Callithrix jacchus: one gene and its partners. The protein of the gene in region 3 purifies or fractionates together with the protein of the main gene of each other region. This does not show direct contact. Links are inferred from orthologs where the notes say so. Each region holds a gene or a part of one and is shown on either strand. Other genes may lie near its edges.

The links.
Region 1: the proteins of PTPN5 (region 3) and MAPK14 purify together in Homo sapiens (affinity purification with mass spectrometry; 3 studies listed by BioGRID and IntAct, with this or other methods). This does not show direct contact. The link is inferred for Callithrix jacchus from reciprocal best matches to the Homo sapiens genes PTPN5 and MAPK14.
Region 2: the proteins of PTPN5 (region 3) and ATP5PO purify together in Homo sapiens (affinity purification with mass spectrometry; 3 studies listed by BioGRID and IntAct, with this or other methods). This does not show direct contact. The link is inferred for Callithrix jacchus from reciprocal best matches to the Homo sapiens genes PTPN5 and ATP5PO.
Region 4: the proteins of PTPN5 (region 3) and MAPK3 purify together in Homo sapiens (affinity purification with mass spectrometry; 4 studies listed by BioGRID and IntAct, with this or other methods). This does not show direct contact. The link is inferred for Callithrix jacchus from reciprocal best matches to the Homo sapiens genes PTPN5 and MAPK3.

Annotation. Positions count from the first base shown.
Region 1 is NC_133505.1:44,384,569-44,392,214, reverse strand, and holds part of MAPK14 (mitogen-activated protein kinase 14), read right to left. Parts: intron 4,456-7,646; coding exon 4,344-4,455; intron 3,641-4,343; coding exon 3,611-3,640; intron 3,282-3,610; coding exon 3,234-3,281; intron 1,817-3,233; coding exon 1,702-1,816; intron 1,118-1,701; coding exon 1,046-1,117; intron 1-1,045. UniProt on the Homo sapiens protein: Serine/threonine kinase which acts as an essential component of the MAP kinase signal transduction pathway.
Region 2 is NC_133522.1:39,975,709-39,983,038, forward strand, and holds part of ATP5PO (ATP synthase peripheral stalk subunit OSCP, mitochondrial), read right to left. Parts: coding exon 7,270-7,330; intron 2,950-7,269; coding exon 2,863-2,949; intron 2,586-2,862; coding exon 2,472-2,585; 3' UTR 1-2,471. UniProt on the Homo sapiens protein: Subunit OSCP, of the mitochondrial membrane ATP synthase complex (F(1)F(0) ATP synthase or Complex V) that produces ATP from ADP in the presence of a proton gradient across the membrane which is generated by electron transport complexes of the respiratory chain.
Region 3 is NC_133511.1:84,757,367-84,765,770, forward strand, and holds the start of PTPN5 (tyrosine-protein phosphatase non-receptor type 5), read right to left. Parts: upstream 4,349-8,404; 5' UTR 4,106-4,348; intron 1-4,105. UniProt on the Homo sapiens protein: May regulate the activity of several effector molecules involved in synaptic plasticity and neuronal cell survival, including MAPKs, Src family kinases and NMDA receptors.
Region 4 is NC_133513.1:29,408,243-29,415,598, reverse strand, and holds part of MAPK3 (mitogen-activated protein kinase 3), read right to left. Parts: coding exon 7,296-7,356; intron 3,780-7,295; coding exon 3,590-3,779; intron 3,407-3,589; coding exon 3,290-3,406; intron 3,041-3,289; coding exon 2,926-3,040; intron 2,545-2,925; coding exon 2,413-2,544; intron 2,246-2,412; coding exon 2,136-2,245; intron 2,041-2,135; coding exon 1,918-2,040; 3' UTR 1,887-1,917; intron 477-1,886; 3' UTR 1-476.

The sequences.
Region 1 (7,646 bases), on a different chromosome or scaffold from region 3:
ATAATGAAAGTACATTCTCTGTGGCAGAAGACAGAACACAGGGGTAGGTATCATGGACATCATAGTCATTATAGAAGTATATCCCAAACTGTGAGCAAAGTGAACTGACATTCTGGTTTATAAACTCATCCATTTATTTAGGTAAGGGACTAAAATGGCTTTTACATCTCTAGGCATAATAGATCGGAAGTAATTGTAGCATATCTAACAGCCCAACCAAAACCACTTGAAGGCTAGTTAACTCAATTATATTTAAAAAAAAAATCCCCAAAACTAATTCTAGACATATGTTTTAACATTCTTTCTTACCTAAACATCTTCCATAAGTAGAACTGATGAGAGTTCCAATAAATCACATTTTCATGACATTATTACTAAACCATGAAACAAGCATACTGCAGATAGAAAAGGAGCTAAAATAAAGGGGCTATATAATAAACCATAAACTAGACGGTAAGTCTGGGAGTAAATTAATTGGTTTGGCTGCCATCTGAGATAAAGTTGTGCTGGGAAAAAAAAAAAGCACATGACAGGGTAACCTTGTCACTTCTTGCTTTTACTATTTGTTGTCAAAAAACAAACATAACAAATAAACAATATATCATTGCAGGTACCAAACATAGCCTTTTTGATACATAAAACAAACATAATAGCAAGACACCCTTTAATTATAAATGGGTATCTTGTACTCATTAAGTGTTTATACAAGTAAACTAAACCTGTCATTGGGATCCAGAGCTTTTCATGAGTATGCTCAGGTCTCAGAACCACTGTGGGATGATTAATAAGGGTTTGTTGCAAAAAGATGACAGATTTGAAGGGTTTTTCAGCTTAGGAGGAATTTTTTCCAACTCATGAAAGTAAACTGAAGCCTCTTTCTTGGCAGGGCAAGCTACTCAGTAAGAAGGGAGACCTCATAACATATTATCTGGACTATAAAAGCAAAAAACTGAGAGCCTTCCCTAGAGATAAGTAAAAGGAGTATACATCCATGGACACCAGAATACAAATAAGAAACAAGAATCCAAAACTTTTTAAAGGATACGGTCTGTGCCAGGAAACAATGTTCTTCCAGTCAACAGCTCGGCCATTATGCATCCCACTGACCAAATATCAACTGGCAATATTAAAGAGAAATAAAAGTACATGTGATGTCACTGTTATTATACTTGGCAACAAATAAAACCATAACTAGGAGTGAAATACTCAAATTACTATTTAAAACCTCTGAGCCTCAACAATCATTCTCATTTTTACAGAAATAAATGAGCTTGATCTTTACCCCACTAAAGGGCTGTTCAAAGGTGGGGTAAGTCAAAACATACTTAAGAGAAATAAAAAAAAAAAAAAAAAGGAGAAATAAGCTGTTCAAAAAAGGAGCAAAAGAATGGTAGATTCTTCCAAGTAATATTGAGGGGTTAAAATTATGGACTCTTTGTCTTCAGGTATAAATACTCAGAGAATAAATTCAAAATCTAAATAAATAAAAACCCAGTTGCTAAATCACGAGCTTTAAAAGCTGTATATAAAACCCCAATTCCCCATCTGAGCAAGTGAAATGTTTTCACCTGTAGGCTTTAAAAGGATCACTGAGGAAAGAAAAGATATTTCTCTCCCCTCCCATAATCTCTACTTCTGAGAATCCCAAATGCATCCAACATAGAATTAAATAAGGCCCTAAATAACCAGTGCAAGTAATACCTGTCTGGTTGTAATGCATCCAGTTCAGCATGATCTCAGGAGCCCTATACCACCTAGTGGCCACGTAGCCTGTCATTTCATCATCTGTGTGCCGAGCCAGTCCAAAATCCAGGATCTAAAGGGCAGAAGAGGAACAGACAAACTGTTAAGACTTATAAACAGGCAGGGGAAAACAACAACAACAACAACTCTGTTGCCTTTTTAAAAAGGAAAACAAGATAGCACTTTTATAAAGAGATTTCCTGGTCCATGCTTAGAGTGCATGGTAAACTTACAGTGAAAACTCAAAAAACTGAATTACAAAAAGCAAAACAAAAATGTCACTCCTTGGTATTTAATCAAGCGCAATGAGAACTTATGGCCATACAAAGGTTTGCACATGAATATTCACAGTTGCTTTACATAGCCTCATAGTCAAACTAAAGCAAATGTCCATCAGCAGGTGGACAGATTTAAAAATCCTGACATGTTCATAAAACAAAATACTATTAGCAATAAAAAGGAAAAAAACATTGACACAACAATACAGAATCATTACACTAAGCAAAGGCTAGATACACAAAAATACACACTATATGATTCCATGTACATGAAACTCCAGAAAAGATAAAACGAATCATAGTGTTAGAAGCAGATCCATAGTTGCTTTGAGCGAGAATTAGGGGTGGAAGGGTGGGGATTGACTAGGAAGGAGCACAACAGACTTTTTAAAGTAACAGAAATGTTCTTGGCCAGGAGCGGTGACTTATGCCTGCAATCCCAGCACTTTGGGAGGCCAAGGAGGGTGGATCACAAGGTCAGGAGATGGAGACCATCCTGGCCAACATGGTGAAACCCTGTCTCTACTAAAAATACAAAATTAGCTAGGCGTGGTGGCATGCCCCTGTAGTCCCAGCTACTCGGGAAGCTGAGGCAGGAGAATCACTTGAACTCGGTAGGTGGAGGTTGCCGTGAGCTGAGATCAAACCACTGCACTTCCAGACTGGGTGACAGAGCAAGACTCCAACTCGAAAGAAAAAAAAAGTTCTTTATCATAAATGTGACAGTTGAGTGGATATATAATTTTGCCAAACTGTACACAAAACGTTGCATTTTAATGAAAATTTTTTTTATTAAAAAAATGAAATGGAACAAAGCAAGTTCTAGAAATACTTGCTCTTTAGAAACAATTCACTTATCTTTTATTTGAATTATTTTGAGTGGATAGGTTTCTGCCATTTTTCCTCTTAGAAATCTATTTAATCTAGTTATCACCTCTTCAGCATTGCTTACTTGGTATTTGACTATTATCTTCCTTTATTATGATTAATATATTAAATTTCTAATTTATGTTAAAATGAAAACAAGTGATGCTACTTCTAAAGTAACTTAGCTTACTGAGAAATGTTTTAAATTTCAAACTCTGATAATAAAAACAATATGAATTTCAGATAGTCATGGCTCATAAATCTCCCTACGAAAGTTTGCCTCCTTAGTAGGAGGCATATAATCTCAAAGTAAAGCAAACAATGACTACTGTCTCTTCATTTTACCTTCAGCTCACAGTCTTCATTCACAGCTAGATTACTAGGTTTTAGGTCCTAGGAAACAAGTACAGAGACAGGATCAACTTTATAATGCATGATCAATTCTCTTCCTACAGGAAATAATGAGGAACTAGACATAAAAGACTTCATCCAGCTATCAAAAGACAATCTCCATCCTACAGTCAAAATTTAGTCCACGTTAGCCTTACATAGAAAAAAACCTATCATCTTCTTTCTTTAATCAGTCTAAACCTAGAGAAAAGTTGCAATCAATCAACATTTCAATGGTTAAAGTAAGTTTAGATTAGGACCTTGGCTAAATGCCATTCTTCCACCCTCACCCCACTTCCCCAAAATAATGTAATCAAAGACACAATACATACCCTGTGAATTATGTCAGCTGAATGTATATACTGCAAAAGAGAAAAAGCTCAAAGTTATTCCAACCTTCTATTGTCGTATTATATATTTGCTGCATATTTTCATGAATCAATAAGAACTACTAGTGTTAACAGTGAGATTAGAAATTAGCATAAGTAACTATCAGTATTGAGTACATTTACCATAACTATAATTTCCACAGCTATTGACTCTACTCAGTTGAGCTTTTAATCTATTTTCTGGTTGGTACTCTGGAGCTCAACAGAACTCAAAATGGCTAAATATCAAAGATAGTTTAATTTTAAAATACTGTTTACCTGCCCCTCCAATAAATAAATAAATTAGTCTTCCTCGATGATTTAAAACAAATCTCAACATTACACTGACCAGATATAAGATTACATCAATAAATTACTGTTTAGATATAACAATGAAGAGACCTTATCTTTTAGATATGCATACTAAAGTATCTATGGGTGGTATAATATGTCTAGACTTGCTTTAAAATAATCCAGGGCTTGGAAAATACAAAAGAAACATAATTGGCAATATGTCAATAATAACTGTTGTCAATGAGCGAATATGGCAGTTTATCATATATGACTTTTACTTGTGATTCTGTGTGTTTGAATTTTCCATAAGAAAAGTTGTTTACTTGTTTATTTGTTTAAGCCCTAAAAGGAGGGGGAAAAGGGAGAATTCATTTTTAAAAATTATTATTTATATTATCTGTACCTTTAGACCTCGGAGAATTTGGTAGATAAGGAACTGAACGTGGTCATCTGTAAGCTTCTGACATTTCACAATGTTGTTCAGATCTGCCCCCATGAGATGGGTCACCAGATACCTAGAAATTAGTGAAAAGTTACATAACAATCTAGAACCCCTAAGAAAGCTCTTATCTTCACAAGACTTTTGTAATTTTTGTTGTTGTTGTTGTTGAGATGGACTCTCACTCTGTCAACAGGCTGGAGTGCAGTTGTGTGACCTTGTCTCACTGCAACCTCCACCTCCTGGGTTCAAGAGATTCTCCTGCCTCAGCCTCCCAAGTAGCTGGAACTACAGGTGTGCACCCACCATGCTCAGCTAATTTTTGTATTTTTAGTAGAGATAAAGTTTCACCATCTTGGCTAGGCTGGTCTTGAACTCCTCACTTCATGATCCACCCCGCCTCGGCCTCCCAACGTGCCTGGCCTGACTTTTCTAAGTTTTTAAGAGAAGGCCACCCTTCCTTTAAAATGGTAGCTGTACCACAATGACAGTTAAAAGTTAACAACCATTCATTTTTTCTGGGGGGGGGGGTGTGCTGAGGAGGGGGCACCTCATTACCTCAGTTTCAACATCACTATTCTTTTTTTTTTAGAGACAGGGTGATGCTCTATCATGAGCACAATCATAGTAGCTCATTGCAAGCTCAAATTCCTGGGCTCAAGTGATCCTTCTACCTTAGCCTCCTGAGTAGCTAGAACTAAAGGTGTGCACCACTAGCCCAGCTAATTTGAAAAACAATTTTTTTTTTAAAGATTGGGGTCTAACTATGTTGCCCAGGCTGGGCTTTAACTCTTGGTCTCAAGCAATCCTCCCAATTCAGCCTCCCACCATTACTATTCTAACTTAACTACCTGCCATCTATTCTAAACATTTCATACTCATTCCTACTTGACATCTTTTTCCAGGTTACCTCAAGAAAAAAGAAAACAGGACGAGCTTTGTGGCTCACATCTATAATCTTAGCACTTTGGGAGGCGTATAGGAGTTTGAGATCAGCCTGGGCAACATAGGGAAATCCCACCTCTACAAAAAATAAAAAAGAAAACAACAAAAGCAAAGATAGGAATTAGAAAGATACATGTGTCAATATCAGTTTCCTCAAAAATGTTATTCTTGCATGACAAATACACAGTATAACTTAGTGCACGGCTAGAATAAAGTATCTTGTAGTTTTAAATCCACCACTACATTTTTACCTCATTGTAAGCCTTCCATGTTATAGGTTCTAAAATAGGAGTATTTTTTGATTTTCAAACTCTAATTCTTTTTCAGGAATGACTGGTAAAAGGATTTTGTTCATGGACAATATTCCTGCACTTACCATAAAAGAAGGAGGAACATGTTTTATCTGGAGGCAAGATGAGGCATTCCAGAACTTCTCCTCACAGGTGTGGTGCTGGTTATTAATCCCATCTTTATGTAGTAAGATTAGGGAATGATTACATTCAAGTCCAACAGGTTCACCACACATATTCTAGACACAATGCCTTAACCCACTCATTACTGTATTACACAGCTATGGAAACATAAAAAGTAGATCGGTACTAAAAAGGCTGAATTTTTTTTTTTTTGCTTTTATTTTATTTTTATGTTTTGGCAGACAGAGTCTTGCTCTGTTGCCCAGGCTGGAGTGCAGTGGTGCAATCTCAGCTAACTGCAACCTAGGCCACCCAGGATTAAGTAATTCTCATGCCTCAGCCTCCCAAGTAGCTAGAATTACAGGTACGCACCACCACATCCGGCTCTGGCTAACGTTTGTATTTTTAGTACAGGGTTCACCATGTTGGCCAGGCTGGTCTCAAACTCCTGATCTCAGGCCTCCCTCAAACTCCTGCCACGGCCTCCCAAAGTGCTGGGATTACCGGCTGCACCTGGCTAAGAGGCTGAATTTTTTAAAATAAGGGTGAGTTTTATTTACCATCTAAGAATCATTTTTATTCCTGAGGTTGGGTAATAATATATATCAGCTGAACTATGAAGAATGCTGATTTCATTTCATTTCTTTTTTCATTTTTTATGAATTTTGGAGGAAAGCAGGTCAGTAATTTAGATCTATTATTAATGTATTATAAGAATAAACATGTGTGAACTACACATATAACTAATACAATATATTTATTCCTTTCTGTCCTCCAAGAGGAATGGAATTTTTTTCTCTGTCATAATTTCCCTGTAGGGCAGCCATGGTCAGTTCTCAATTTCATGAAGATCAACAGGACTTAACCTAGTGGTAACCTTAAGGTAAGATTTTAGCATTTCATATTTTTAAAACTTGCATGTTTCTACTGCCTTGAGGAAAGAGTAGACTCTAAATATAATTTAATAAGTAAATGAGACTGAAATGTTCTGATTCAGGAGATGTTCCAGCCTCAACATAACATAACCAAAGGCACTAACTAGCACTTATTCTGTGCCCAGCACTGCAGTAAGCAGTTTATTATGTCCATGTCTCACGTACTCTTCCCAATAACTCTGTGAGATAATGTCCATTAGCATTCCCATTTCATTGACAAGGAAACAGAGACAGAACAAGGATAAACCATCTACTCATTGTCAAAAAGAGTAGGAATGTCAGGAGTTGAATCTAAAACTGTCTGACCCCACAGACCATGATCTTAATCACAACACATATTCTTCCAACAATTCTTTCAGCTAATACAAAATTTACATCAAGGGAATGGACTTTTTAAAAATTTGTATAAATGTCACAATAACTAGGGAAGCAATATATCTGAGTAATTTCCTTAATAATTCTCAATTCTGTATTTACTGTCAAAGTTAATCTTAACTAATAAAGAAGGCTGGCAAGAACATAGCAATATTCTGTCCTAATCATAGTCACCGTATTTTTTTAACCCCAAATAGATGCATAAACTGAGGAAGAAAGAATCCAATTTCAGTCTTACAAGACTGCTTTGCACATAATTATATTTTTGACATTGCATAATAACTGGGTTATTCTTTCAACTTTCCTAAATAATTTTACAGAGAAGAGACAAACATAACTTACCTTTAAATAAAACCTAAAAGTCCTAACTAATATGCCTGAGCTAGTTCACAAAGGTGTTAGGCAAAATTACTAATGAAACCATAGCAACTTCAAGTACAACTATTTAAATGGTTACCAGTGACTCAAGAAATCTTATGCAGCCAGAGGACCACTGACTGCATGGCCCAAGGGAGAGAGCATGCTTTTAGTTAGAACATTTTACCACTATGTAATTTCTCTCAAATCCTTCTCCCCTCAGAGACCATATCCATTTTATC
Region 2 (7,330 bases), on a different chromosome or scaffold from region 3:
ACTCTTTTACTATTTATGTATTTATTTATGAGATGGAGCCTTGCTCTGTCGCCCGTGCCTGGCCTCTTGTGTTACTTAATAGCTCATTTGCATCAAAAACATCCCATATACAAGGTACTGTAAAACTTTCACCTTGGCTGGGTGCAGTGGCTCATGCCTGTAATCCCAACACTTTGGGAGACTGAGGTGGGCGGATCATGTCAGGAGTTTGAAACCAGCCTGGCCAACATAGTGAAACAGTCTCTACTAAAAAATACAAAAAATTAGCTGGACATGGTGGCACGCGCCATATAGTCCCGGCTACTAAGAAGGCTGAGGCAGGAGAATCGCTTGAACTTGGGAGGCGGAGGTTGCAGAGAGCTGAGATCGCACCATTGCACACCAGCCTGGGCAACAGTACGAGACTCTGTCTCAAAAAAGGAAACAAACAAACAAACCCCGAAACCAAAAAAACTTTCATCTTGATTTAAAAAAATATTGTGAAGAAAATAATTGTAGGCTGGGTACAGCGGCTCATGCCTGTAATTCCAGCACTTTGGGAGGCCAAGGCCAGCGGATCTCTTGAGCCTGGGAGTTAAAGACCAGCCTAAGCATCACGGCAAGACTCCATCTCTACTAAAAATACTAAAACTAGCTGGGTGTGGTGGTACCGCCTGTAGTTCCAGCTACTCGGGAGGCTGAGGTGGGAGGATGGCTTGAGCCCAGGAGGTTGAGGTTGCAGTGAGCTGTGGTTGTGCCTCCACACTCCAGCCTGGGTGACAGACTGCCTCAAAAAACAAAACAAATCATTGTACACACATCTCTGGGTTCTCTCTGGTGACCTTGTAAGGCGACATATGAAGCGCCTCATCATTCCCTGAGATTATATATTTGATCAACAGGAAGGTTGCTGAGTTTGAAAGATCTGGGCAGATTCAGCAGCATGAGGCTCTAGCAGATTGTCTATTGGTGGTCACGTGCCTGTAGGAGTTGTGATTGTGTATATGACGCCACCTTGTGTAGAGTGGGCCTCATTGCACGCAGCGAGTCGGCGGAACCTGGAACGAGGTTGTGGTTAGGTTGCACTCAGCTGCAGAGACAGAACTCAATATCCGGTGGCTTCGGTGTGAGGTCTATTTCTTCATCATGTTTAACAGCTCAGGGCAGCAGTCGGGCCTGGAAGGGTGGCTTTGCCCTTGGCATGGCTTGTCATCTTGTCTGCATCTAGCCAGAGGGACATGAGGGCAGTCCAGGAAAGCACACATCACTTCCTCTCCTCTCCTATTTGCTACAACTCAGCATCACATTAAGGTACTACCAGAGGCTCAAAAATACGGTCTTTAGCTGATAGCACTAGGCCCACCTAAAAGGTAGGTGAATGGACTTCAGGCCAACCAACAGCCTCAGCACTCCTGGTTCCTGGGAAAGTTGAGGGGCCACCTGGTGTCTCTGCTGGTTGTTAGGTGATGTATTAAAAGCTCTGCCAGGAGGAAGCTGGAGTTGAAGCCAAGCATGAGAGCCAGGAGTGTCGTGCCACATGGAGGGCATGCTGGTCCCAGCACTAGAATGCAGGGAGTAGCCTTGGGCCATGTAATTGCTCTTTAGGACTTCCTCCCTGCCCAACCAGGGCAGTTCTGGGAAGAGAATTGGTTTGCTGGCCCAAAGCTCCTGGAGGGTGACTAGGAAACGGGTGCCTGAGTGGGCTGTTGCCTGGGGAACTCTTACCTTCTCTAGAGGCCAAAAGGTAAAATGTAGGGGGAGAGCTGACCTGGGAACTGGTTTTGGATAAGAGGAGAATTGGGAACATCTTAGGGACAAAATGGGAAGGGGCAGGGGACCTACGTACGATGACTTTTGCCTGTTTGCTCCAGCAACATGTCAGGGCGTGCTGTCAGTTGTACAGTGGGACAAACAAGGGCTCTAGAGCCTGGCGACCAGCTGTCCACACAGGTGACTCTGAGCCCCTCAATCTCTTTCCTCATTTGTAAAGTGGGGTGATGTCTGTCCCACCCATATGACAAGGCTGTCATGAAGCTTAAGAAGTACATGAAATGGCCCTGAAAGCTACAGAGCAGCCTAGGACAAGGTATGTTCATGTCAGGACTAAGGGTATTTTATTAGAAAGAGGCCTCCCTGGAGGACTGACGGAGCAAGCGCAGATCCGATGACTCAGCAGGGACCAGGAGTTCTGAGCAATCCCTAAAAACATGGGATTTTGGCAGGCAGCACCAGACAGACTTTGCTAAGTGACCATGTGCTAGGTGCTACGTCTAAACAATCCATTCCTAAAAACCGTCTACTCAAATTCTCTAGGCCAAAAGGGCTTTTTGACCTTTAGACTCAAAAGTCTTTTGGTATCCCAAAAGAAAGACATAAAAGTAAACTCTTCTACATTCTACTTTAAAAGATAGTGAACATACTATGGTCTGTTCTGGAAGCTTTTTATTGTGGCTCCAAGTTAAAGAATTTTCACTGATGGCAGAAAACCACTTTCAGATAACCTCCCGCATAGCCTTGCTCAGCTTCTGAATCTTGGTCTTGGCAGACATGTCCACGTATTTCTCTCCAATACGCACAATCATTCCACCCATGATTGATGGATCAGTCTACAAAAGAAAACAGATTGGAAATGGGACACATGAAAAAGTGCTTTGAAAGGCATAAACGTGTCACAGGAATGTAAGATGTTACAATCACACCTAGAAAAAGGCAAAAGTAAAACTGCACGGAGTCAGATAATCATTTAAATTTAAAATAAATACAAAATTTTAACTACAAAAAAATTAGTACAGAACCAGATCTAATATGTCATTAATACTTTCTGTAGCCATTTTAAATTTAAAATGACCTGAGAAAACATACCATAAATAATTTAAAACCCACCTTAACCTCCAATTTCAGTATCTGGCCTTGACTTAGGAAGCTCTTCAGGACTGTTTTTAATTCAGAGAGTGTGGCTTCTTCTAAAGGCTGAAAGACAAAAACCATCCTTTCAATTTAGATAAAGCAAAATAGAAACTTCCATGGTTAAAACACGCCAGGCCCAGATCACCAAGACAGGCCTGTGAGCTCCTCCACTAGCTACTTGGGACCATCGTGGAGCGGCATGGCAGCACTCACTCCCTGTTGGTGCCGGTGGTTCAGGGAGCATGGGAAGGCCCTGCCTCACAGCATCATCTGGGCAGCTCCCACTGGGCGGGTCATGGACGGCCTCTAAATGCCACTCCCTGTCTCTGCTCCGTGTGCTAGCAAAACAACGTGGAACAGAGGAGGAAAAGCTCAAAGTTGATAATGCTTGAAGATGGAGCTCTATCAATGCAGGAGGATAAGGCCTCTCGTGGGTGCAGCCCCAGGGTCACAACATGTCCCTATCATGTCCTTGGGTGAAAAGTTGCCATTTTAACCTGGTTTTACATCTTTATGTTTCTCGAGCTCCACTGGCTGTCATCTCCCCGCATCCACGGTTACCTGCAGCTCTGGGAGGCCACTCCACTCTCTGAACCCCAGGGAGAGAACCTGGAGCAGCTGGCTTTTCCTGAAGTCAGCTCAGCTCCGTAATCAACTTTAGAGCGAGCACCCTAAATGTCCCGACTGCACTCTCCTCTCAGCCCCAACTGTTACTCCTGGTTAGTTAGGTGTTACAATGGTGAAAATGAAAAAAGTGGTTGAAGCAAAGGTGCCCCCTCACCCCCCTGCCCCCTGCTTTTTTTCTGAGACTGAGTCTTGCTCTGTCACCCAGGCTAGAATACAGTGGTGAGATCTAGGCTCACCACAACCTCTGGCTCCCGGGTTCAAGTGATCCTCCTGCCTCAGCCACCCAAGTAGCTGGGATTACAGGCGCATGCCACCACACCTGGCCAATTTTTATATTTTTAGTAGAAACAGGGTTTTACAACATGTTGGCCAGACTGGTCTTGAACTCCTGGCCTCAAGTGATCCACCCAGTTGAGTCTCCCAAAATGCTGGGATTACAAGCCTGAGCCACCGTGCCCTGCTGCAAAGACCTTTTTTTAACTTGTCATAAATCCTACCTCCCTAGCCTCTCCTCCCAAGAGCCTAAAGAAATTTAGCGAAAAAAATTTGTATCTTTGTAAAGATCTCACACTATCCTTTTTTTGGCAGGGGGTGGTGATGGCCAAGGTCTATTCACGTTCAAAACATTATTTGCTGAGATTGCAAGGTTACGGAATTCTGAAACATACACACCCTCCACTGAGACATGCACCAACTGCCAGGTGCCTGACTATGCCAGGCATTTCACACCTACTATCTCCCTTAATGTGGGCAACCCTGGGAGCCAGCGGTTCTGATTCCCATTTTATATATGAGGGAACCGAGGATCAGAGAGGTTAAGAAACTCACCTGAGGTCACATCAGCAAGTGAGGACTAACCTCAATATTTGAAATTGGTCTGTGTATTTCTAAAGCCTGTGCTCCTAGTCACTCATCAAGGTGTAATTTTATCCATACAGTACAGACTTACACACCCTGTGGTATCAAAATCAAAAGCATTAGTAATAGTTGGTTCTAAGATCTTTTGCAAAAATAAGCATCCTTTAAAAGAAAACCACGTCCTTCTGGCTGGGTGCGGTGGCTCATGCCTGTGGTCCCAGCACTTTGGGAGACCGAGGCAGGTGGATGGCTTGAGGTCAGGAGTTTGAGACCAGCCTGGCCAATGTGGTGAAACCTCGTCTCTACTGAAAATACAAAATTAGCTGGGCATGGAGGAGGGTGCCTAAAATCCCAGCTACCTGGGAGGCTGAGGCAGAAGAATTGCTTGAACCTGGGAGGTGGAGGTTGCAGTGAGCCAAGATTGTGCCACAGCACTCCAGCCTGGGTGGAGAGTGAGACTCAGTCTCAAAAAAGAAAAGGAAAGAAAATCATGTCCTTGTATGTACTGAAGAATGTCCTGCGCCAGCGCTTCACGATGGGTGAACGGGGGGCAGGTGAATGCCTAACCTGTGCCACACTGTTAGGGATCCCCAGTGCGGCCACAGAGGGAGCCCTGCCTATGTCTGAGCTATAATGATTGTAGCCAGGTACATGTTTTGGGGGCACCAACTACTGACCTACAAGTGTGCAAATAAGTATGATGTACTAGGATGCTTCTCCTTGAAACTGTGCTAACTGGAAAGGTTAGCATTTGGCCAGGCGCGGTGGCTCACGCCTATAAATCCCAGTTGAAAGGTTAGTGTCCTTTCAACGCTAGAACTTTTTTTTTTTTTTGAGACAGAGTCTTGCTCTGTTGCCAGGCTGATTGCAGTGGCATGATCTCGGCTCACTGCAACCTCTGCCTCCTGGGTTCAAGCAATTCTCTTGCCTCAGCCTCCTGAGTAGCTGGGATTACAGGTGCGAGCCACCATACCTGGCCAATTTTTGTATTTTAGTAGAGATGGGGTTTCACCTATTGGCCGGGATGGTCTCAATCTCTTGACCTTGTGATCCACCTGCCTCAGCTTCCGAAATGCTGGGATTTATAGGCGTGAGCCACCGCACCTGGCCAAATGCTAGAATTATTAATCTAGATGAGGTCAGATGTGATGAATCCCAAGTAAACCTACCACATTCTCCTGTTTTCCTGTAGAATGGGCTATGTTACATTTGACTGAGCTACACAGGGAAGAAAACACATATTTAAGACAACAACAAAAGTAATTCGAGGGAGCAATGCAGTGTAGTGTAAGGAATATGGACTTCTAAGAGGCCTGTGTTCAAATTCTGGTCCCACCTCGTAATGACCTTGGGTAAGTGACTTCATTTTCCTGCGTTCGGTTTCCTCATTTGTAAAATCAGGATAATTACACTTCTATCTCACATGAATCTTTTGATAGTGTATAAAATAATGAAGAACTCGGCAGAGAGTAGCGTTCAATAAATGGTAGCCCATTATACCCCACTCTATCAAGTCAAAAAGATACAAAGGCCCATCTGCTCTACTCCTTCCCATTTGCCACCACAAAAGAGGAAAGATTAGTAACTCTAGTTTCAGGCTGGGTTACACCTCTACTTCCAGCACTTTAGGTGGCCAAGACAGGTGGATCACTTGAGCCCAGAAGTTTGAGACAAGCCTGACGAACACGGTAAAACCCCACCTCTACAAAAATAGAAAACAATTAGCTGGGTGTGGTGGGGGTGTACCTGTAATCCCAGCTACTCAGGAGACTGAGGCAGGAGGATTACCTGAGCCCAGGAGGTTGAGGCTGCAGTGAGGTGTGACAAAGTGAGACTCTGTCTCAAAAAAATAAACTCAGGCTGGGTGCAGTGGCTCACGCCTATAATCCCAGCACTTTGGAAGGCGAAGGCAGGCAGATCGCCTGAGGTCAGGAGTTTGAAACCAGCCAGGCCAACATGATGAAACCGTCTCTACTGAAAATATAAAAATTGGCTGGGTGTGTTGGCTCACACCTGTAATCCCAGCACTTTGGGAGGCCGAGATCACGAGGTCAGGAGATTGAGACCATCCTGGCCAACATGGTGAAACCCCATCTCTACTAAAATACAAAAATTAGCTGGGTGTGGTGGCGCGTGCCTATAATCTCAGCTATTTGGGAGGCTAAGGCAGAAGAATTGCTTGTACCCAGGAGGCGGAAGGCGCAGTGAGCCGAGATCACAGCACTGCACTCCAGACTGTGACAGAGCAAGACAGAAAAGAAAGAAAGAAAGAAAAAAAAAAAGAAAGAAAGAAAAAGAAGAAAGAAAGAAAGAAAGAGAGAAAATTAGCTGGGTATGGTGGCACGCATCTGTAATTCCAGTTTTTCAGGAGACTGAGGCAGGAGACTTGATTTAACCTGGGAGGCAGAGGCTGCAGTGAGCTGAGATCACGCCATTGCACTCCAGCCTGGGTGACAGAGTGAGACTCTGTCTCAAAAAAAAAAAAATTAGCCGGGTTTGGAGGTGGGCACCTGCAATCCCAGCTACTCGGTAGGCTGAGGCAGGAGAACTACCTGAACCCAGGAGGCAGAGGTTTCAGTGAGCCAAGATTGTGCCATTGCACTTTCAGTAAACTACTTCAAGTGGTAGTTCTAAACCACCCTTTTCTCACACATTTTGATGTTCTTTCCATTTCACCCAGGCCTTATGAATAATCACCGGTTACAGAAGCACTAATAAGATGTATGCTGATGTTTCCAAAGCAAAGGGTCACAGAAGCTGATATAAAAATGAAGGAAACATCCCAGCTGACAAGTTACTTTTTCCAATTTCTTGATTTTACCTTGTTTTTTCCCTTTTCTGCAAAAGGCGACATATGTAACATCAAGGCCAAGACAGCAGCAACAACCCGTTACTTACAGATGCGGTGGTCACTGTGCAGGGAACCTCTCCGCGGTGGACACTCATCATGGTAGAAAAG
Region 3 (8,404 bases):
TTAACATCATGCAGCTTCCTGAGGTCTATAGGCCCTTACAAGATTGGCTCTTCCCACTGTCTCACCTTTCCTTACTACTTTTCCCTATTGTCTGTCTTTAACAGCTACACTTCAGGTTCCTTGAGGACACCAAGCTATGGTTACCCCAGGGTCTTTGCATCTGTGGTCTCCTCTTTTTAGAATGCTATTCCCCAGGTCTCTTCATTCAGGTCTTTGTTCAAATATCACTTTCTCAAAGACAATTCTATTTTAAGGCAAGTCTCATCCTCCACTCTTCCTCCCAGTCATTCCTCATCCTACTTCATTTTTCTCCAAAGCACTCACTGCTCAGCACCTGAACAATTTTATCTTTGCTTACGTTTTATTTTCCATCTCCCCTGGTAGAGCCTGGGCTGGAAGTTTGTCTTTTTAGCAACGTATCCCTAGGGGCTAGAACAACCTGGCATGTAACGGATGTTTATAAGTATTTGGAGAATAAATGACTAGATGAACTGGTTCTTGATAGTTTAGGGTGCTTGATGAACCAGCTTTTCAGGAGGAATCATGATGGTCCCTGGTAGATTCACAGCCCTTACTCCTAAGCTTCCCACTCCTCCTCCTGATGGGCTCTGTCTGTAAGTGGCATTCTTGTCCATTTGGTCTCAAGCCTTGCCATCACTTATTCCTCCCTCCTGCTAGTGCCATCCAATCAGTTACCAATTTTAGTGACACTGTGGCCTCTCACATCAATTCCTTTTTTGAGCCATTCTTACAACCACCCCCAGTCCATACTCTCTGTATCTCACCTAAACCATTGTCATCATTTCCTACCCGGGCTTCCAGCCAACAGGCTCTCCTCATCCAATCTGTTCTCCATGGGGTAGCCAGAGTGCGTTTCAACATGTTAAGGTTTGATCATGTTTCTCCCTCACTCAAACACTAAAGACTGCCAACCCCTTAGCATGGCAGTCAGTGCCCCCTCCATCACCTTCATCCCCTTACTCAACCTTCTTTCTCAAGACTCTTCTTTTGTTCTTTTTCCTCCAGTGGGAATAAACTGCTTTGCAGTTTCTGTATATATTCTAGAAGTCTCCCTTACCTGTCCATCCTCTGCTTATGCTGTTTCTACTCTTTGAAATAGTTTTCTTCCTTTCTTCTAAGTACAAATCATTCAGACCCAGTTTGAATGCTACTTAGCTTCCCCAAGAAGCCATTCCTGACCTGTGAGGAGAAGAAAATTCCTCTTTCTTCTCAACTGTTTTTAAGAGGTTATCTGCCTCTTTTTTAGGGCAAGCCTTGGGAAAGGACGGGCAATATGACAGAAGAAAGAGTCCAGAATCTGGAGTCAGATCACCTGAGCCAGAGGCCTAGCTCTCTGGATCTGAGACTTTCACGGTATGCACCCTTAGATAAGTGAAAATCCAAGTCTTAATTTCCCTAACTGTAAAATAGGGATAACACTATTGATGTCATGGATGTGTTACAAGGAGTGACAAAATATAGGAAAAGCTTTTGACACTATATGCAAATTAATTATGAAATTCTATCATGCTAACACATAAAACGTTGAATAAACAGTTGCTCCTCCCAGGGAGTTTTCATGGATGTTTTATGCTGGCTGAGCCCTAAGTCCAGGAATAGGTCAGTGGGGAAAGGATTTTTTTTGAGGGGGGAGGACTTTGAGGCCTTAAGAATCCCATGTGCTTGGATGATGTGAAGAAAGGAAAAAGTATAGGGTACACCCACAAAGCTGGGTCCTAGTGGAATTACTAGCTACCAATTCCTGAGCATTTTCTACATGCCAGGCACTGTACTAAGTACCCTACATACATTATCCTTGAGTCAGAAATTATTCCTTCACAGAGCAAAAGAAGCCCATAGCAGTTATATAAATAAGTGGTACCCCCGCCCCACTGCCAAATAGTTCATAACATCATCAATTCAATGATGTTATTTTTTGGATGGAGAAATTGAGACCCCAGTGGGTTATATATGGACACTGTACAGCCAGTAAGGAAGACACTGGGCTGGAATCCAGATCTCTTCTCTCTCGAGGTAGAAACCTCTACTTGGCAAAACCCCAGGGCCACCATTCATTATGAAGTCTGTATAAACAGCGCTTCTTGGAGCACAATGCCATCTATATGGACTCCATTGTCAGTAGCAGCCCCTGAAGTTCTGCTAATTGGCCCACCCTGGCTCTGCTCACCCCTTTTGCTCACACAAAAAGGAAGTTCTGGATGGATTGGAGACTATGATTCTAAGTGAAGTAACTCAGGAATGGAAAACCAAACATCATATGTTCTCACTCATTAGTGGAAGTAAGCTATCAGGATGCAAAGGCATCAGAACAACACAATGAACTTTGGGGACTGGGGAAAAGGAGGAAGGGGGTGAGGGATAAAAGACTGCAAATTGGGTTCACTGTATAGTGCTTGGGTGATGGGTGCACCAAATTCTCACTAATCACCACTAAAGAACTTCTCATGTAACGAAATACCACCTGTTCCCCAAAAGCCCAATGGAAATAAAATAATTTTAAAAAGGAAGTTCTTGAGACCAGAACATCAGGTCCCTAGAGACTGAACACTGCCCTCCTTGCCAACTATTCCATCCAGGTCTCTTCCAAGGTGACTGACTGCATCCCTTCACCATCCCTCTAGCTTGTACTCCTTCAACACACCTCTCGGGGCACTCTCTCTGCACCAGGCATCAGGCTCAGCTCTGGGGACAGCTGGCTGCCCTTGAGGGAGTCTTATGCTGAGAAACCACCCAAACCTGGGGTGACTGTAACTCAAGCTTCCCCAGAAGCTTTGTCAGCAGCACCAAGAGGCTGCCCTTAACAAGCCCCAAGGAGAAAGAGGTGGAGACCTTCGCAAAGAGATGATGAAAGGGGCCTGGTTGAAGTAGAAGACCTGGGCCCTTGAAGGGGAGGGAAGGGTGACTGGGAGGGCATGCAGTCAGGACATAGTAGAGAAGAGGACAAATCCTGGGATGCCACATCACCTAGCCCAACTGAGGATACTCAGGCTCAGTGTGTCCTGGCTGGGTCAGGACTAACACCTGGGAATGTGATCTCAGGTCCAGGGCTTCTTCATTCTCCCAAAAGGAATCCCAAATCTGGAGTGTTTGAATAAGAGACATGAGAGCTCTCCTTTGAGATTGAATGAAGCAAATTCAAGCCCCCTCCCCTCTCCCCCCCCTTTTTTTTGTGGCACAGTAGGGATGGTAGCAAATGAATGGCACCTGCCTCTCCAAGTGGGGCAGGGCTGGAATTAGACTTTCGTGGTACACTCTGGTGAATTTTGGGGTTCTGGGGCTTCAGTGGGGGTAGGATCTAGTTGTGTAGGAGGGGCCACGAGTATGAAACCCAGGGACCCTAGATTCTAATGCAAGCATTACCACTAACTCTCAGGTGACCTTGGTCAAGCCACCTTACTGGGCCTCAGTTTCCCTATCTGTAAAATGAGGGGTTTGAATAAGTTCCCAAGATTCGTCTCGCTCTGACCTTCTAAGCCCTGTGATCCTTGATAAGGCAAGCCCTCCCAAGGCTCTGACCCGGGCAATCTCCGGTTTTGCCGGAGCCTGCGCCTCATCCAGAAACAAGCGGCATGCTGGGGGAAGGGAGCGCGCTAAGCTTTTATTCTGGGGGAGGGTGGGACGCGGGAGGCTAAAGCTAAAGGGTCGGTGGAGGCAAAGCGATGGGAAGGCTGGGAGCCGCGGTTTACAGACCAACAGGCTAGCGGCGATGTCCAACCTCCCTCAGGGGCTTCGGACTCTGGCTAGGCGATGCAGCCCAGAGCCGCGCACCAGCCTCCGCCGGCCGCAAAGGCTCAGACGCCAAACCACTATCCCAATTCCTCCCCGGAACCGTGCACCGGCTTCGTGGGGAGTGGCTGCCGCTCCATCCCGGTTACCAAGCGCCGAGCCCCCTCCTCTGTTTGGGGGACCCCTCCCCCAATCTGGGGGCGCCCGGAGCCCCACGGGGGCGTGGCGGGGGCGGACGCCGGCTCCTCCGCCCTAAGGGCTGGAGAAGGTGTCAGCTGCGGGGCCGCCTCAGGAGGGACCCGCGCCCTCCACCTTCCGGCTCCGCACACAAAGGCGCCGACCGAGGCGCCACACTTACCGGCCAGAGCGGGCTCCGGGCGCAGATGAGCGGGCGGGCAGGCTGGAGGGAGGATGTGCGCGCGCGAGTGTGCGTGTGTCTGCGTGTGTCCCTGCCTGTGTCTGTGCCAGAGTGTGTGCGACGGGGGCCGCGCCGAGCTCAGTGCGTCTGCGTGTGCGGGGGCGTCCGTCCTTCGGTCCGTCCGCCCGGCGCTCCGTCCCGCGCTCCGTGCGCGCTCCCTTGCCCGACCGCCTCACCAAATGCGCTTCAGCTGCGGAGTCGCCGGCGCAGCCGCCGGGTGCTTTTGGCACCCCCCAGCCCCGGCTCGGCTCCGCCCCGCCCCCAGGCGGGCTTGCGCCGCTCCCCGGGAATTGCGCAGGGCTGGTGGGGCTGGTGGGGCTGGTGGGGCTGGTGGGGCTGGTGGGGCTGGTGGGGCGGGGAACCGGGAGATCCCGCTGGTCCCGGGGCCCGAAGGGGGCCGGATCCCACACCCTTAACCCCTGACCCCATCTCAGGTGCCTCCCTCTTCCGAGCAACTCTGCGCGGAGTCCCGGCAGGCGTCTCCCCAACACCAAGGTTGCTTGGACAGGGAGGGCGGAGGAGTGGGAGTATCGCATCCATTTCATTCATGATTTTTCTCCTCTGGGGAGCCCCGGGTGGGGCCGCGCGGCTACGGCTACAGCCAGAGAGACCCCAGCAGGGCCGTACGTGCTGAACCTGGGACGGGACAGGGAGGCTGGCAGAGGGAGTAGGGGCCAGCGAGACAAAGGGAGCAGAGGTGGCGGGGGGGGGGGTCGGCTCACTGGGGGCATGCTGTGGCTCACCCCGCGTGATACCAACACCTGCAGCGGAGCGGCCGCATACTAGGGCGCACAAAATGCCGGGTGCCCAGGACCGGTTCTAGGACTCTTGAGGAGACGTCCCTCTTCCTAATTCTCCCTGTTCAGCCTCTGGGGAGCAAGAGTGAGTGGACAGCCCCTCCCTCCACGGATTCTTGCCCTCCTGATGTGCGGCGCCGGGCACGCACCTGTCTTGGTTTTCTCGTGGGCACCAGGGACCCGGACGCGCAGGTAGCTGCCCATGAGCCCCACAATCCTACACAATCCCCCCACAATCCTGTATTCTCCACGCTGCTACCGCGCTGGCCCGAGGTTCCCGACTTTTCCATCCCCATGGGGGCGGGCTTGAGGCTGCGGGTTGGACACAGGGCAGGTATCCTAAACTCCATTTTTACACGGGGAATCAGAGGCGAGCCGCCACAAAGCTACCGCCCTGGTTCCAGCCACCATCCTCCCCCTCCTCTGGGAATTTCATAATTGCCTCTTTACTGGTCTCCCAGCTTCCACCCTTGGCCCCTTGCAGCTGATTCTATGCATAGCAGTCAGAGCGATCCTTTAAGTCAGAGCACGTCCTTCCTTTACTGGAAATCCTACACTAGCACTCCATTTCATCCAAAGGAAAGCTAAAGGCCTATCATGACCTGCAAGGCCCTTCAGGAGCTGGCTCGCTTTTAACTCTTTAACCTCTCTTTCTACCACCCTCTCCCTTCTCCCACGCTCCACTAACACTGGTCTTTTAAATGCATAACCGACCTGGCAGCCCTGTGGCCTCAGGACCTTTGCACTGCTAGTCTGTGACTGGAAACTCTTCCCCCTGATAGTCACATGGTTACTCCTTTACCTCTTCAATGTGTCATTATTTCTCTTTCTCCTCCTCCTCCTCCTCCTCCTTCTTCTTCTTCCTCTTCTTCTCCTCCTCCTCCTCCTTCTTCTTCCTTCTCCTCCTCCTCTTCTTTTCTCAGATGGAGTCTTGCTCTGTTGCCCAGGCTGGAGTGCAGTGGTGCCACCTTGGCTCACTGCAACCTCTGCCTCCCGGGTTCAAGTGATTTTCCTGTTCAGCCTCCCGAGTAGCTGGGATTACAGGTGCCCACCACCATGCCCAGCTAATTTTTGTATTTTCAGTAGAGACGGGGTTTCACCATGTTGGCCAGGCTGGTCTCAAACTCCTGACCTGGTGATCTGCCCACCTCAGCCTCTCAAAAGTGCTGGGATTACGGCATGAGCCACCGTGCCCAGCCTTAACATGTCACTTCTAAGAGACATGCTGAGACTATTCTGTTTAAAGTTGCTGGCCCTCCCTCCTTTTCTCCATGGAAGCTATGACTTTTATTTCTGTTCCCTGCTCCTGAGGCTCACTGGCCTCATTGCCAGCTCCCACCTCAGTCCCCTCCCATTCCAGTTCTTCAGCCTCACCTCACACTCTTTTCTTTCAACAAACCCTGAGTTTTCCCATCTCTAGGCCTTTGTTCACATTGTCGGTTCAGTCTGAAATGCCATCCTTCCATGTCTTGACTAATTTTTAGGTCCAGCTTAAATATCACCTGCTTCTCCTGATATTCTCAGGGACACTCAGCCCTCATTACTTTCTGTCTACTGTGATAGTGGTTCCTTGTCTTTTTCCCCAGGTGCACTTTGAACTCCTGGAAAGTCAGGTGGGGTGTCTTCCTTCTCCCCAGTTCCCAGCACAGAAGGGCTCATCGGTACATGTTTGTTGATCAAGGGCACTGATTGGGCTGGGCCTTGATTGGTCTTTTTTTTTTTTCTCTCCTGGGAAAAGGCCTAGAGACCTAGACCCAACTAGGTCCCTGTGTTGCTCTCAAGGAGTTTCCTGTGGAATGGGGAGGATTATATGTTGGGTAAAAAGGCTGTACTGCTTGGGTTGTATGAAAGGGTGCATAGGTACGTCAGCCTGTGTGCCAGGACCTGCTCCCCACCCCAGAGGATCATCACCATGTTCAGCATGAGTCTGATTTCTCCAGGCTGCATCAATGTAACAATAGCAGACGGGCACTTTAGTATGTGCCAGGTACTGTTTTGTGTTTTCTCAAGGCACGGCTCTATTGAATCTTTATGGCATCTGTGGGAGGTGGGCCTTTTGACGTTCCCTATTTCAGAAGAGGAAGCAGAAGCATAAGTCAGTTTCTTACGATCACTTAAGAGGTGAGTGTTTCAAATCCAGATCTAGCCAGTTCCATAGCCCATGGTCACAGAAGCAGGGATGCCTTAACATCAAAGCCCTTTGGGCTGATGGAAGGAAGGGGAGGAAGTAAGGCTTAGAGAGCTTCAGCAGCATCAGCCTGGGGCAGACTCTTGATGTCCCCAGCTCAGGGGTCATAGAGTCATGGAACCCTAGTGGGCTGGGACCTCACAGCTTCCTGTCAGTGTTGCCTCTGATGTCCTGTGGTGGAGGTTAATGGCTACCCTTGCCCATTGTAAAGGCAACTTTGGAAAGCTAGAGCTGCCTTGTAAACATTCCTAGCTATGTGCGCTGGGTTCAAAGCCCATCCCCAGCTGTCACATGTGTATAATAATGCCCAACTCAAAGGGCTATGGCAAGGAAGAAGTGTGACAATACCTCTAGAAAGTAGCAGGACAACAGCAACAAAGATCTTTCTCCTTTTGTTTCTTGTATTGCGTTTCTATCACATAGGGGTGCACCTAAACTAGTCTCCTCACCCTGTTTCCACCCTATACACCCTCTTATTGAAAAGCCTTACCCCAGGTTGCAGTTCAGGAAGGAAATCTCGCATTTATTGAGGGCTTTAAAAATCAGTGATCCACGCTTCCCTGCATTCTTTCCTTTGATCTGCCAAAGCATCTTAGAAGGGACTGCTTTACCAAGGAGGAAGAGGAGGTACAGAAAGGTCCAGGGGCCTTCCCAAGGTCACAGAGCTCACTAAACAAGATTCTAGCTTATGTCTGACTGTTCACTTAACCAGCACCCTGTCAATCCATGGAGAGTACCAGCACCCTGTCAATCCATGGAGAGTGACCTCTTTGATTTCCTTTCTCTTCTCTGATGAGGAAGAAGAGTTCTATGAGGCCCACGGCGATGAAATAGTTGTGAGGATGTGATGACTTAGGAGGCTTCTTGGGCTATTTTGTGTGACTCATTTACCCTCTCTTGATGGAGGGAAGAAGAGGGATTTAAAAAAGAGGAGATAGGGAGAAAAGATGATCTGAGCAACCAGAGAATGTTTTACTGGTGGTTCTTGATGGACTGTTAGAGATTAAAGTCCATCCTTCCTGCTTTTGGCCTCACTTGCAATTCACTGTCTTGGTAATGAAATGCTTTGCTTCAGTGAAAATGTCCCCTATCCAGATTTTTATTTATTTGCTTACTTATTTATAACTTACTGCAATCCGCAAAGGATCTGAAGTAGCTTACCACAGGAGCAGGATCCATAAAACAATGTTAAAGTAGCTGTGAAGATAAAGAATCAGGACCAAGGAAAATGTAAATAAACGTTTAGTGACACGG
Region 4 (7,356 bases), on a different chromosome or scaffold from region 3:
AGGGGGTTGAATGAGATGAGGAGGAAGGCCTGGCCCTGAGTCCTACTCAATGCCCCCCACCCTCCACCCCCGCCCCTCAGCAGGTTGGGCAGCCAGAGCCCTTCCATTCCAGAACTGCAGAGACTGGGACGCTGGGGAAGGGCACAGCAGCAGCAGCGGGAAACTGAACTGGGGCCACCTGAGCCTCCGATGCCCTGTGGAGAGGACAGGCAGAGAGGAGGAGGCCTTGACCTGCCTGAAGCTGGAGGCCTGAGCAAAGGAGAGAGGTGGCCAGGCCCATGTTCCACCCCGGCTGGGCTGCCAAGGTCTGAGCTGGGCACAGTGTCCATTTTCTAACAGTCCGGCAGGAGAGGGGCAGGAGGAAGGCAGCTCCTAAAGAGGGAAGCAGGCAGGAGAGGAGTCATCAGCACCCTCGGGCAGACCCGGTGCAGCCCATCACCCTCACAGCTGGGCAGGCTGGAGCTCAGTTTCCTTATCTGTAAATGGAGATAATCATAGTACCTAGCTCAAGGTACTGCTGTAAGATTAAAAGGATTAATACATGCGAACCTCTTAGAACAATGCTTAGGGTTTTATGCGTTCATTATTAGAACTGTCTCGGCCGGGTGTGGTGGCTCATGCCTGTAATCCCAGCACTTTGAGAAGCTGAGGCGGGTGGGTCACTTGAGCCCAGGAGTTGGAGACTGGCTTGGGCAAATAGTAAGACCCCAACTCTTAAAAAAAAAAAAAAAAAAAATTAGCCAGTTGCAAAGGCTCGTCCAGCTACCTGGGAGGATCCCTTGCGCCCAGGAATTTGAGGCTGCAGTGAGCTATGATTGTGCCACTGCATTCCAGCCTGGGCAACAGAGTGAGATACTGTCTCAAAAAAAACAAAAACAAAACAAGATAAATAAAACTGTTTCCAGGGAACTGAGGCACAGAGAGGCGAGGTGCCTTGTCTAATACCACACAGCACTTACTAAGTGGCACAGCTGCAGTTTGAGCCCAGGTGTGCTGCCTTCTTCCTATCAGGCCACACCTGGCCAGAGACAGGAAGAGACTGGAGGAGGCAGTGTGGGTGGGGGCAGGCCCAGTGGGGTCCCACAGCTATGTGAACTGCTAACCTGGCAGCAGGTGTGAGGAGGCCTCGCCATCTGGGTCAGGCTGGGTGATGCTGGGCCCCTCCCAAAGCGATCATGGCTCCACCTGCTTCTGCCACACCCAGAGCTGAGGCCTGGCTCAGGTCCTTACCTGGGTGACAGGGGCCCTCTGTAACCTCTTGCCTCTTTGCTAGTTCTGTTCCCAGAAGATTAGAATGGCTCCTGGGGCTGGAGGATGCAGGGTGTTGACAGGTGGAGACATTTGGGGTTGGAGGACTGGGTGGGCCACGAGTCTGGGTAGTCCTTGGGCATTTTTTTCTTTTATTGAGGCAGAGTCTCACTGTTGCCCAGGCTGGAGTGCAGTGGTGCAACCTCCACCTTCCAGGTTCAAGAAATCCTCCCACCACAGCCTCCTGAGTGGCTGGGTCTTATAGGTGTGCGCCACCATGCCCGGCTTATTTTTGTATTTTGAGTAGTTTTTATATGTTTTTGGTGTGTAATTTTTGTATTTTTAGTAGTTTCACCATGTTGGCCACGCTGGTCTTGAACTTCTGACCTCTGGTGACCTACTGGTCTAAGTCTGTCTCCCAAAGTGCTGGGATTCCAGGCATGAGCCACCATGCCCAGCTCCCTGGGCACCTCTGATGTCACCAGCCACATGGACCATGGGTGCGGGGCAAGCTTGCAGCTTAGATAGAGATAGAGAGAGAGGTAGATAGAGACAGAGATAGCTGTAGGTGTGGATATAGAGATAGAGATCTATATTTAGTATCAGTGTGTCTGTGTGCGGGCCATGGGGACACTCACCAGGCCCCAGGGCACAGGATATCTGTCTAGGTTAGGGGGCCTCCAGCGCCCCAGGCTGGAAGCGTGCTGTCTCTTGGAAGATGAGCTCCTTCAGCCGCTCCTTGGGTAGGTCATCCAGCTCCATGTCGAAGGTGAAGGGCTCCTCGGCCACTGGCTGGGGTGGCAGAGACGGTAAGGCTCAGGCCCGGTGTGGGGAATGCCGACTTGATCCCCTGCCCCCAGCCCCGCTGCTGCTAGGCACTGGCCCACCTCATCCGTTGGGTCATAGTACTGCTCCAGGTAGGGGTGGGCCAGCGCTTCCTCCACTGTGATCCGTTTGTTGGGGTTAAAGGTTAACATCCGGTCCAGCAGGTCAAGGGCTATGGAAGGGCAGGAGTCAGGGGTCACAGGGAAGGCTGGAGGAGCTCCCAGGAGCATCGCTTTGCTTCCCCATGCCCAGGGCCCGTCTCCTCCGGTGGCTGCTGGACTCACGCACCCTCCACAGCTCCCAGGGTTTATGCCACACCCGTCCCCACGTCTCTCATACCTTTGGAGTCCGACTTGGGGAAAAGCTTGGCCCAGGCCACCTTGGTCTTGGAGGGCAGAGACTGTAGGTAGTTTCGGGCCTTCATGTTGATGATACAATTCAGGTCCTCCTGGGATGGGGAGCCCAGGATGCCTGTGGATAAGGAGGTGACTTGGTAAATGATCACCTCCTCCTTTCTGGGAACAGAACAGGCAAGAGGGCAAGAACAAGACCCCCCAGCCTAGCAACCCATGCCAAACTCTTAGTCACCTCCTAGTCTGCTCTCCCAGCAGAGCAAGGGGCTGGATTCAGGCAGACTGAGGCTCAAATCCTAGGTGTGGTGCCTCCTTAGGTGTAGGACTTAGCCTTGCTTTTCCCATCTTTCCAGTGGGGATAATATCTATACCTCGTTGAGGTCTAGGAGATGCTGGAGGCACCCCGTACATGATGATGATATCCCTGACTCGGACTCTCAAGAAATCTCACCTAGGAAAAGCTAATTATCCCCCACTCAGTCAGCCGGGACTCCCTCACCCAGAATGTGGTTGAGCTGATCCAGGTAGTGCTTGCCAGGGAAGATGGGCCGGTTGGAGAGCATCTCAGCCAGAATGCAGCCCACAGACCAGATGTCGATGGACTTGGTATAGCCCTGGGAGAAAGGAGGAAGTGATGGGCTCCCGGGACAGCCTCAACAGGGTCCTGCTGCCTGTGCCAGGCCACCACCCCAAGCTAGATCCAACACCAGGCAGAAGGCAGAGGCCTGGAGGGCTCCACTCTCAGCTTCCTTGCAGAGCCCAAGCCCAGAGGGTGGAATGGGGGTCAGTGCCTGGCTCAGAGGTAGCTCCAGGGCTTCCTGGGACCTGGCCCCTTCCCTTCAGGAGTGGGCAGCCCCTCCTACCTTGGAGTTCAGCATGATCTCTGGGGCCCGGTACCAGCGTGTAGCCACATACTCTGTCAGGAAGCCAGTGTGGTCGTGCTCAGGATCAGCAATCCGGGCCAGGCCGAAATCACAGATCTGGAATCAGACCCAGCTGCTAAGCTTGGCACTCAAGGCCTCCGCAGCCCAAGCAGTCACTCCCCCTTGTCTTTGCTTCTGCTGTTCCCCTGGCTTGCAATGTTCTCCTGCCAATGGCTTCCACTGGTCACCTGGAAGCTCCAGACCCTGGGGGAGGAGGAGACAGGTGCCCAACCCTCTGACCTTAAGGTCGCAGGTGGTGTTGATGAGCAGGTTGGAGGGCTTTAGATCCCGGTGGAGGACATTGGCGGAGTGGATGTACTTGAGGCCCCGCAGGATCTGGTAGAGGAAGTAGCAGATGTGGTCATTGCTCAGCTGCTGGCTTTTAAGCAACTTGTACAGGTCAGTTTCCATTAGGTCCTGCACAATGTAGCTAAGGATGGTTCCGGAGGCCCCCCGGGCAAGGGGCAGCGGGAGGCACTTGGTTAAGGAAAACAGGCTCTGAAGGCAAGCCTGCACACCTCCAGCCAGGGCCCTTGGGGCTCAATAGAACTTCCAACCTGCACCGCCAGCTGGGCAAGCTGCCGTTGTCACCCAGCAGCAGGACTCAGCCTCTGTTGCATTGAAGCTGCTGAGCCTGAGCAAAAGGCTTCATTTCTGTGGCCTCAGTTTCTCTACTGGGAAAATGGGGATACTAATAAACTGTGGGAGGCAGGAGAACCTCACAGTTAAGAGCAGCAACTGGGGCTGAGCAGTGGCTCACGCCTCTAATCCCAGTACTTTGGGAGGCTGAGGCAGGAGGATTGCTTGAGGCCAGGAGTTTGAGACCAGCCTGGGCAACATGGCACAACCCCGTCTCTACTAAAAATTCCAAAATTAACCGGGCACAGTGGCATGTGCCTGTAATCCCAGCTACTCAGGAGGCTGAGGCATAAGAATGGCTTGAACTCGGGAGGTTGGGGTTGCAATGAGCCAAGATCTTGCCATTGCACTCCAGCTGGGATGACAGGGTGAGCCTCTGTCTCAAAAATAAATAAATTAATTTTAAAAAATAAAAAGGAGTTAACCCATGGATGTGTGAAATCCTCTCTCTACTACTCACTGGCTTTAAGATCTCAACTTGTCTGTGCCTCAACTTTCTCACCTAGTATGTCGGGGAAATAATGTTTTTTGTTTGTTTATTTGCTTTTTTCTTTTTTGTGGAGATGGACTCCTGCTATGTGCTCAGGCAGGTCTTGAACTCCTCGGTTCAAGAGTTCCTTCCGCCTCGGCCTCCCAAAGTGCTGGAAATTACAGGTGCAAGCATGAAATAATGGTTCTTTCGAGGGTGGCTGTAAAGACTAGATGAGGTGGCGCATGTAAAGCTGTCAGCCCAGCGCCTGGCAAGTTGTGAGTGCTAAAGAAACGTGAACTATTATTACTAATATCAAGGCCTGAGTCACAGGGACGCCGCGGGAGTTAAATGAGATAATGGATGAACACCATCTGGCATGCAATAGATGTTTGCTTAAAAATAAATGCCTGCCTTATGGGAATGGTTTGTGCAAGAAAAACGAGGAGACACTCCCAACAGCACACTCCCACTCAAAGAAGAGTGCTTGGCCATACCTCAGAAGATGGAGGAGTAAAATGTCTTTTTCCATTTGAAGCTAAAACAAAGACTGTGAGTAAATAAATAAATAAATCCACAAATGTCGTTTGGCTTGTGTCTGGAAAAATAAGTCAGGTCTGTCTTTTAGAATCTGCCTTGAGGCCAGGCGCTGTGGCTCACACCTGTAATCTAGTACTTTGGGAGGCCAAGGTGGGTTGGTGATCTGAGGTCAGGAGTTCGAGGCCAGCCTGCCGACATGGTGAAATCTCTACTAAAAATATAAAATTAGCCGGGTGTGGTGGTGCACACCTGTAGTCCCAGTTACTTGGAAGGCTGAGGCAGAATTACTTGAACCTGGGAAGTGGATGTTGCAGTGATTGGAGATCTAGCCACCGCACTCCAGCCTGGGCAACAGAGCGGGGGGGGGGGGGGGGGGGGGGGGAGGGGGGGTCTGCCTTGAAGAAGTCTTCAGAGAACATCTGGACCAGCCCTGCTGTTTTAGAGCTGGGGAGGCCCAGTGAGATGCAGTGACTTGCTTCAGATGACACAGCGAGCTGGGGCTGAACGCGGAGATTTCCTGTCCACAGTTTGTGGTGGGGGCTATAGACACCAGAGTACAAATCCCCTCTCTTGGGTGGAGTGCTGGGACCGAGAGTGATTGGGTGTGGCAGGGAAGAGGTGACAGGTGTCACAAGTTGCTAACAAAAGAGCCAGCCAGGAAGTGGACAGCAAACCAGGAAAGCAATATCAGGGGAGGAGACCAAGGCTAGGTTGTCTCCTCCCTGGGCAAAGTGCAAGTCCACAGGTGATTAGGGTGCTGCTTGGAGTGAGAAGTCCTAGAGGAAGGACAACTTCCCATCTGGGGGAGGGGAGGAGGAGACAGCAAGAGAAACACTTGATTTTAGGTTTTCTGGGTCTTAGCTTCCTCATTTTTTTTTTTTTTTTTGAGACAGGGTCATTCTCTGTCCCCCAGGCTGGAGTACAGTAGCACAATCACAGCCCACTGCAGCCTCTAACTCCTGAGCTCAAGCCATTCTCCTGCCTCAGCCTCCCAAGTAGCTGGGACTACAATTGTGCACCACCAAACCTGGTTAATTTTTAAATTTTCTGTAGAGATGGGGTCTCACTATGCTGCCCAGGCTGGTCTTGAACTCCTGGTCTCCAGCAATCTTCCAGTCTTGGCCTCCCAAAGTGTTGGGACTACAGACGTGAGCCATTGCTCTCCACCCCTCATCTTTGAAATGGAGCTGAAGGCCGGATGCAGTGGCTCATGCCTGTAATCCCAGCACTTTGGGAGGCCAAGGCGGGTGGATCACAAGGTCAAGAGATTGAGACCATCCTGGTCAACATGTTGAAACCCCGTCTCTACTAAAAATACAAAAATTAGCTGGGCATGGTGGTGCGCACCCGTAGTCCCAGCTACTCGGGAGGCTGAGGCAGGAGAATTGCTTGAACCCAGGAGGCAGAGGTTGCGGTGAGCTGAGATCGTGCCATTGCACTCCAACCTGGGTAACAAGAGTGAAACTCCGTCTCAAAAAAAAAAAAAAAAAAAAAATGGAGCTGAAAAACCCATCTCATAGGATAGCTGGAAGGTGTAATAGCAAAATAAATAAATAAAGCACTGGGCATATATAGTACCTGACCCACAATAGGCCCTCAAGAAAGGTAGTTTTTTTGTTTTTTTTGAGACAGAGTCTTGCTCTGTCACCCAGTCTGGGATGTAATGCCATGATCTTGGCTCACTGTCCACCTCCTGGGTTCAAGTGATTCTCCTACCCCTGCCTCCAGAGTAGCTGGCCCGGCTATATATATTTTTTTTTTCTGTATTTTTAGTAGAGATGGGGTTTTACAATGTTACCATGTTGGCCAGGCTGGTCTCCAACTCCTGACCTCAAGTAATCCACCTGCCTTGGCCTCCCAAAGTGCTGGAATTACAGGCGTGAGCCACTGCACCCGGCTGACAGCTTTCTTTCTCCCTGTCTCCCTTCCAGTCTGGGGAAAGAGAAAAGAGAGAAAAGAATCGTCCATTTGTTATCAAGAAGTGACTGTGGGCTGTGGCCGGGTCATGTCTCAGAACTGCAGATGTCAGAAGACAACACTCCCATAGAGACCATCCTGCCCAGCTCTCCCCCTGGGGCACAGAGCAGAGAACCGACTTGCTCAAGGCCATACTGCCCGGCTGCCACAGGCCTGGATTCATCAGAGGCCTCCAAGTCCTGTTACACTGTGGCCTCTCCTCTGCAGGAAAGTTTATTTTACTGGGTTTTTTTTGGAGGATGGTGGGGAAGATGGAAACAGAAAGCAAGTGATGGTTCCCCAGCCCAGCTCGGAGGCCATGAAGGCCAAGGTGAAGGATACACATCCCTCATGGCTTCCAGGGTGGACGCCCGAAGAATGTCTCGGATGCCGATGACATTCT